Arabidopsis thaliana: one gene and its partner. The protein of the gene in region 1 interacts with the protein of each later gene in a pairwise test. Each region holds a gene or a part of one and is shown on either strand. Other genes may lie near its edges. The genes, in order: ZIM and NF-YC2.

Region 1 (3,923 bases):
GAACAATTCTAAATGTCAAACTTCTTGGCTATATCAGTATCTTATGAACTGAACATAGTGAACATATTATATATGTCTTTATCATCACTTTGTCTTTCATACGTACCCTGTTAGCCCAAAAAAGTCCACAGGCATTGCAGAGAGTCCTGGGGCCGGAAGGGCCACGTCGCATCATTGGTGTACATTTGGAACTAATGCCGCAATGAGTACACCTACATAAGACACACTCACGTTTAAAATAAGTGCAAACAAAATGTCCCACATTAGTGGAAAACAAAAATTGCAGGAACAGTTAATTGGCAGAGAAGAGAAAGAACTCACGATATTTCTGGATGGGCATCATCTTGGGCAGAATCTTGATCTGTGCCAGAGTTATAAGCCCCATCTGTCATCTTTGAAGAGGTGAATTGACCTTTATTACGTGCCATTCTGATAAACACTAACAAAGGTCAGAGAGGCAGAGAAGGTGACAAATCCTATCCCTTATTATTGAAATAGACATGTCGATTATTTCCAGTAAAAGCTACTTATCACACTAACAAAGACTCAGATGTCTATCCTGCTCAACTACAACCATATTGTCAAATACTACAGCAAGCCATGGACAATGAAGCCTACTACTCTACATAAACACCTACATGGTCACCAAACTTCTTGAAACAAATAAAAGAAAACTAGCTAGATAGTAAACTAGTTGAATATGAACAGATTTCCTTTCAATCCATAGCACACGAAAGTGAGGAAGTAGTTAAGCAACCAGAGCATAGCCAGAAGAGTAGAAAATTTTTAGTTTAGCTATACAAGAATACTAAATTTTTATCCCAGAAAAGGTGAAAGAATTTTGTTCAGAGTAACAGCTTTTGGCATAAATTGGTAAAACTCAAGACTGACACACTGACCTTAAGGCAACTTCTTGGCGAACACCGTATCTTACTTTCTTCTCGAAACATCTAGCATTCCTCTTCTTCCGAAACCTATCCAAGGATTGTGCCCGTTGCGGAAGGCTACAGCGGCTCTGATATTCTACAACAGGCTAAAAATAACACCAAACTGAAAAAGGTGGAATCGAGATGAAGTGACAATTTAAGCAGAATTTGAACACAAATAACAAAGTTACCATATGATTCTGCTGTTGAGCTAGTTCCATCACCTGCGGACCAGGAGCAAGCTCAGTAGAACCACCCAACAGCGACAACACAGCATCCACCTACGAAATCAATTTCCAAAGTTTGGTTAAGACTAGCAAAAGCACAAAGGTGCAAAAGAGGCAATCGTTACGTGCCCTAAGCCATCAGATGTTATGTTTCAGATGCATCCATCGAGACTTCACACAAATAACAAAAGAGGGACAGAGTAGAATTACCTTGTCAGCACCAACGGCATCAAAAACGTAAACTTGTCCACGGAACGAGATCGTAAGCTGATTCGCCCCTTCCGGTGGCCGAGAAACAAGTAATTCAGAGCCATCGGATCGGTGAGCAACCAATTGAGAGCCATCGGGAATCAAATCGGAGGCAGCACCATAGATAGAGTCAGGATGAGGGATTTCTTCCATATCGTCGTAAGGAATGTGACCAGACGTAGCGGAGGCAGAGACATGGTCTTCACCAGCGGAAGCAGAGGCGGTACCAATCTGGTTATTTGGGATAATCGAATGGCGACCAAACATCGGAAACTGCCAAAAGGGAGAGCTTTTTTTTCACATTGATTGAAGGATATAGAGAAAGAACAAAATAAACCCTAACCCTAAGAGCAAAGGAAGAAGGAAATAGTTGACATCGAGAAGAGCGATTACAGAGAGAGATGGTGATCGGCGCGTGTGGAGGAGGCGAGATTAGGACCGTCGTCGAATTCACCCGACGGTAAAAAAAAAAGGTGACTTTAGGTAAAATCGCAGCACTGCTTCCGAGACGACCCGACGACTCTACTTTACTGGATTTTTAACCAATCACAAATTTCTCTTCTTGTTATTCTTTTTTTTTTTTTTTTTTCTTTAAGCTAGTTTTTCACGTAAAAAAAATATCTGAGAATATTCTATGTATCTTTGATGGTCAAAGGAAAAAAAATTGGGAAATTACACGAATTTGGTTTATCAACAAAAAAAAAAGTAATGCACAAAAAGGATGAATGGTGAGTGAGTGTGTTAGGAGGTCTTGGTGTGTTGTTTAGTTGGAGTAGTGGGAATGTTGTAGAGAAGAAGACCTAGGACAAGAACTATACACCCCATCGTAAAATTTGAGCTCAAGCTTGATCCTCCCGGTAGATACGGCAATGGTTTTGACATTATGTACACCGCTAATGGCACTACAACAACACCAAAAGTATTATCTCATATGGGTTTGAGTATTTGGTGACACTTAAGAGGCGTTGCATGGAAGGATAGAAATATGGACCTGAGAGCATCATGGTAAGAGAGGAAACGATTGCTGAAGATATTTTCACCAGATGGAGCAATGAGATGTTGAAAGCGAGATTGGTGGATATATAGAGCAGTGGGAGTATAGGGGCACCATCACAGCCTGAAATTCTCAAATGGATAATCACAAAGTTTTAGCAGTGAATAAAATTCAATGAAGGAAAAAAAAACAAGTGTCGAATGGTCTCTAACCAGAAATCTTAGCTCCAGTGTTGAAGAAGCATCCGGCACCATCTTTTAGATATGAAGGAAGGCTGGCGAATGGAATGCCTTTCAAGTTTGAGAGAAAAGGCAACAACAGGAACACAAAAAGAGCCTGCACAAGCACAGCTTCAGTGATCCGTAACACTAAACCAAAAAACAAAAACTCTTCTCAAGTAGGAGAGAGATAATAAGTGAATAACAGAGGAAAGCAGCTTTCAAATGTTTTCTTCACGTACTCTTGATGTAATGGAGAAGCATGTCTAATTGTTTTGGCTGTAACAAATACATTTACAACATGATATTGTAGTAGTAGATACCTGAAATCCAGATCCAAATGAATTTACCACAAATATATCCAGTGACTTTCCCTGCATCCACCAGTTAATCTTAGAGTTAATTCAGCAAAGTTTCGAAAGAAAAGCATTCCTGTTTGATGCAGGGGATAAGGGAGATACCTCAAGACGCTTTGCAGCATCATTGAAAACAAATTCCTGTTAACAGACAAAACACTTAACAACTTGGGTCTTGGCAAAAGAAAATAAAATAGAAATGTTCACAACTCATAAGAGAGAGCGACCTTCACCTTTATGATAGATGCACCAGCTTGAAAAGCAGCGGATGCTACCAATACAGCAGGCCATAAGAAACCGATTCCAGATAGCGTAGTATCTGCACCAGATCCACTGCAGATGAGTTACAGTCAGCATTCACAAAAATGAAAGTATCACTATCACACAAGCTTCTCTAGAATCAGGGCCTTCTATTTGCTATGTGGATGATAAATACTAAAGTAGAGCCGTCTCCATTCATTTAGCATGGTGAATTTGATAGGTGTGACTCTGGTCCATGAAAACTAGTTTTCTAGATTGTAAGAGCTGAAAGCACTCTCTTGATATAATCTGTAAATGACCACGGATACACAAACATTTCTCTACCCCAAGATCAAGCATCCAGATCCAAGAAGATAAAAGTAACTTTAGAAGAAGAGAAGAGGGAGGAAGGAATACCTTGAAACAGCCACCACAACCCCCACAGCCACAAGGAGACAACCAGCAATTTGGTTAAGCAAAAACCTCCTGCCTAAAATAAGAAGAGCAAAAAGCAGCTGCCACACCAAATATGTCTGCCAAACATTGGGAGGCATGAGTTCAACACCCCCATGAGAACAAATGAGCAAGAAGATAATCATAAAACCAAAAGACCTGATTCAAAATGGGTATAACTGGTCCAGGAAGCATTGCTGCAACAGAGAGTGGAATCACTCCATATGTAACCTTATAAATATGTAAAGTTTCAATCATGC
Region 2 (3,923 bases), on another chromosome or scaffold:
TTCCACTTTTCTTGCACAAGTGTACAGATTGTTAAGCATTGCGAATCTGTGCGTTTGATCATACAGATGTCGAATCAAGCCAGGTGGTCTGTTCTACAATCTTACAATCTACTCAAGTGGCACAAGGCAGCACATAGGGCCGCTGTTGAAGCTCTCCAAGTGGGAAGTCCTCTTAGCATTGTGATTAGAAGGATTGAGGAAGCCATGTCTTCAAGCAAATGATTGAAGCACCAGCATTTTCTGTAATTTATTACTAATACGGACAGCCCATAAAAAAAAAACTCATTTGGAATGCATGGAGACCGAAGCAGATAAGCTCTCGGTATCTCGGTATATAAACCACCTGACTGCAACTGGAATGGCGAGAAGGGACTTGTATCTTTGGATCCATGTTCAAGTAAGTTAAGGTTTTATCCACTAAGGGAGATGTGGAGGATGACAAGGTTTAAACTTTAAAGGAATAGGAGCCAAGCTTTTAATAGCATAAAGAAAATGGTTGTAAAGTAGCAATCACATGAAAGCTGTATAGTTGAATTCCTGTGAAGTAAAGTTTTGGGCATTACTAGTAGTGATTTTCTTTCTATCATTCTTGTTATTATTTAATGCACATGAGAACAGAAACTGCATTGCCATAGATATAGACTGGGGATATACTAACATGTCATTACAGAACACAATAGAAATGGTTCCCAGCAGAGCAGAGCTACCTTACTACGATACAACCAAACAAACGAAAGGGGAAAAGTTTTAAGACTCATCAGGGTGTTGCTCCTGGGGCCAGTGTTGCATCATCCCCTGTTGTTGCAAGTAATAGTATGGCGGGGAACCCACCACCGATGGTATGGTCCCTTTGGTCACGCCTAAACCTTCTTCTTTCAGCTCGTCCCTCGGGATTATGTCCACAAGGAAATCAAACACGTCGGTCCTGGAAATGGCAGCGGCGATGTCGTTCTTCTGCAAGGTCCTCCTCTTGTTCTCCTCGGTGTGGATCCAAGCACGTAGAGTGAGCTCCAAAATGAACATCTCACAGGCCTTGGCAAAAATCACAGGAGCCTCCGCAGAGATCATCCTCACATCTTCATCAGCTTTCATGATCTTCTTGATGCGGGCTAGGGGAAGGGTGTGGTTCTTGAAATCAGTGGTATGCTCGATCTCTTGCATTTGGTTAGCCCAGAACATCTGAAGCTGCTGCTGTTGTTGCTGCTGATGGTGGTGGTGGAAGTGGTGAGCTTGTTGGAATGCCATATGGGAAGCTGCATTTACTGGCCCACTCTGATAAGCATGAGGAGGTACATAATCCATCACTCCCTGTTGCTGTTGCTGTTGACCCTCTTCTGACTGCTCCATTGCTAAGCTATCTCTGTTAATATAAAATTGTAGATTGACAGTTAATCCAAAGTTAAGGGATTTAGAACCAAAGTCTAAAAAAAATCAGAAAAAAAGAAGCGCATGCATGCTCGAATTAAGCTCAGATATGCTGGTTTCAAATCCGGATTTGGGAGTCACGACCCAAGCAGAGCACGATTCACAACATGGACCAAAGATGATAACTTTTGATCCTTTACTACGGTTTTGTCAAAGCTAAAGGATCAAAGAAGTGAAGAAAACGAAATTGGAGAGAGAAGTTTCCAATAGAAACAGAAAATGGAAGAAGAAACACAGACATACCAGTGAGAGTGAGATCTCGCGAAACCCTAAGATAAATGGGTTTGGGGCGGGTTAGCTTTTTATCAAGCGTTTCTGGTGGTGCGTATCTTCCGCCTAGTTGACACGTGTCGAAAAAGCGGGAGTTTTTACGTTACTTCCACCTGTATGCTTTTCATTGGTTATGTTGTGTTATTCCAGAAATTTCTTTATCGGACGGTTTCGAAGAATAACGAAGAACACGTGAAGTGCGCGTGAACAAAAGTCACGTGACATTTGCAACGTCGCGCAAACTTATTTTCGAAGAAGCCCATTGGACCTTGTGGGCTGTAAATCACCCGGGCCGGATCAAAACTTGACCCTAATTGTCAACAGAGTAAAGGGAAACGGGAAGCAGAGGAAAGGAAACCATCGAAAGAAGTTGCAGAGGCAAAGGATCCATCTTTGCTATCGCCACTCTTCTTTGGGGTTCGAAAGAGCCAGACTTTGTTTAATTATGCCGATAATTATGTGCAGAGTCGTCGCTAGTTTTGTTCTGTAAGGAGCAGAACAGTCTCCTCCATCCCTCTATGTGAAGTCCACAATTGCTCCACTTTTCAGAAGCCAAGGTATCTTCTTACTGCTAATGTATTTACCATACGTGTTTAACTTACACAAGCTCTCTTCTTTGTGTTTTAATCTGTAAGAGATTGGTGTAGTTGTCGGATTTCTGTTAATCATTGCGTGCTCGGAGCTGTGAAATTTGTAGTTTTTGTGATTCTAGTGTGATATGTGATGATCCCAAACAGGTCATGTGCTTTAATAAACGGTTGGAGCAAGAATCAAAAGTTTGTGTATTCTTTGTAGTATTTGTTCTGTTTTTTTCTTTTCTTTTCTTCTTCTGTTTGGTCTCACTGAGACCGTCTCAGTCTCTCAAATATGTATGGACTTAGGATAATTCAGAAGCTTTTGACATTGAAGCCCTTACAGGAAGCAAATATCAAGTGATTGAAATGATGAGTACAGTTGGAGTCATATTTCTTGTTGTTTGTATCTAGGCTAAGAAACTTACACACACCTAATTCGATTTCAGGACTTGATGCTTGGTGTGGCGCCTGATCTCGACACACCGGAAGCAGTCGATGCTGCCATTGCCAGCCATCAACCTGCGACCTGTTTTGGCCTCTGAAAACGGAGACTCTGAGAGCAGCCATAAGAGTGATCGAGAAGGAAAAGAGAAGAGTTGTTTGTGTGAATCTAGCCGAAAAACGAACCAATATCATAGAGCTCTCATAAAACATAGCATCTTCTCAATGCATGGGCAATCCATGTAAAATAGTAATTTACTCAACATTCAAAAGTGGATACAACACTGGTCATGCATATATTATTGACATTCATAGACATACTTCTCCGACGAAATTAAAATCATCAAAGTAAGTTTGGTTGTCAATGAAGTTGAACCACTCGTCGTACTCATTGTTAGGTGTGGTTGATTCAACCAGCTGTCTCCTCAAGTCGGATTCTTCGTTTGTGTCTTCAAATCCGCATGGGATATCCGGTTGAGGATGATCAAATGATTGCGATTTGGTTACCTCTCGAGTCATTTCTTGGGTTGAAATGTGAGTTTGGTGGTTATGAAGAAGAGAGTCTAGCGGAAATAAGATATCGTTATCCTGAAGAAACTCAGAGGTTATATCATCAAAGTCATCATGGTCGAGCAGGAACTGGATCTCGTTGAGTCCATTAACCTCATGAAGCTCTGGTTTTGTGTGCATACACTCGCCTTGGTGATGTGACGAAGTAGCTGAGTTTTGGCTCTCATTTAACCCTGAATGTATTTCTTCTTGAGCCCCGTCACAGTTCTTGTCATGATCTGCTTTTGTGCTTTGGTCATGAGTGCTAGAGAGGGATGAAGAAGAAGAAGATGGAGTGAGTCGTTTCTTGAGATGCGTGTTCCACACGTTTTTGATCTCGTTGTCAGTTCTTCCCGGCAAGAAGGACGCGATCTTTGACCACCTGATGATCACATATATCAATTAGTCTCTACATACTATATATTGTCTTATTATAAAGAAATTAGATGAATAGGTAGAGTACAAACTTGTTTCCAAGGGTTTGATGGTAGTGAATGATAGCATCTTCCTCCTTTTTGCTAAAGTTGCCTCGCTTCACGTCCGGTCTCAGATAGTTTATCCATCTTAGTCGGCAACTTTTCCCACATCTCAACAATCCTATGTATATATATCAATCATTATTTCTCTTAGTTATTTAAAACTTTATAGTATTACCGAAACATG

The links.
Region 2: the proteins of ZIM (region 1) and NF-YC2 interact in binary tests that used the Arabidopsis thaliana proteins (3 or more experiments, as listed by UniProt).

What each region holds. Positions count from the first base shown.
Region 1 is NC_003075.7:12,643,531-12,647,453, reverse strand, and holds the start of ZIM (GATA-type zinc finger protein with TIFY domain-containing protein), read right to left. Parts: upstream 1,891-3,923; 5' UTR 1,670-1,890; coding exon 1,364-1,669; intron 1,208-1,363; coding exon 1,118-1,207; intron 1,034-1,117; coding exon 900-1,033; intron 430-899; coding exon 322-429; intron 213-321; coding exon 107-212; intron 1-106. Other genes in the region: CLT2 (CRT (chloroquine-resistance transporter)-like transporter 2), read right to left, coding at 2,144-2,304, 2,394-2,519, 2,609-2,732, 2,938-2,988, 3,076-3,111, 3,204-3,303, 3,628-3,743, 3,823-3,860. UniProt on the Arabidopsis thaliana protein: Transcriptional activator that specifically binds 5'-GATA-3' or 5'-GAT-3' motifs within gene promoters.
Region 2 is NC_003070.9:21,022,542-21,026,464, reverse strand, and holds NF-YC2 (nuclear factor Y, subunit C2), read right to left. Parts: upstream 1,984-3,923; 5' UTR 1,669-1,983; exon of another isoform or gene 1,361-1,668; 5' UTR 1,348-1,360; coding exon 748-1,347; 3' UTR 563-747; downstream 1-562. Other genes in the region: AT1G56180 (ATP-dependent zinc metalloprotease), read left to right, coding at 67-222; MYB72 (myb domain protein 72), read right to left, coding at 3,021-3,642, 3,728-3,857. UniProt on the Arabidopsis thaliana protein: Stimulates the transcription of various genes by recognizing and binding to a CCAAT motif in promoters.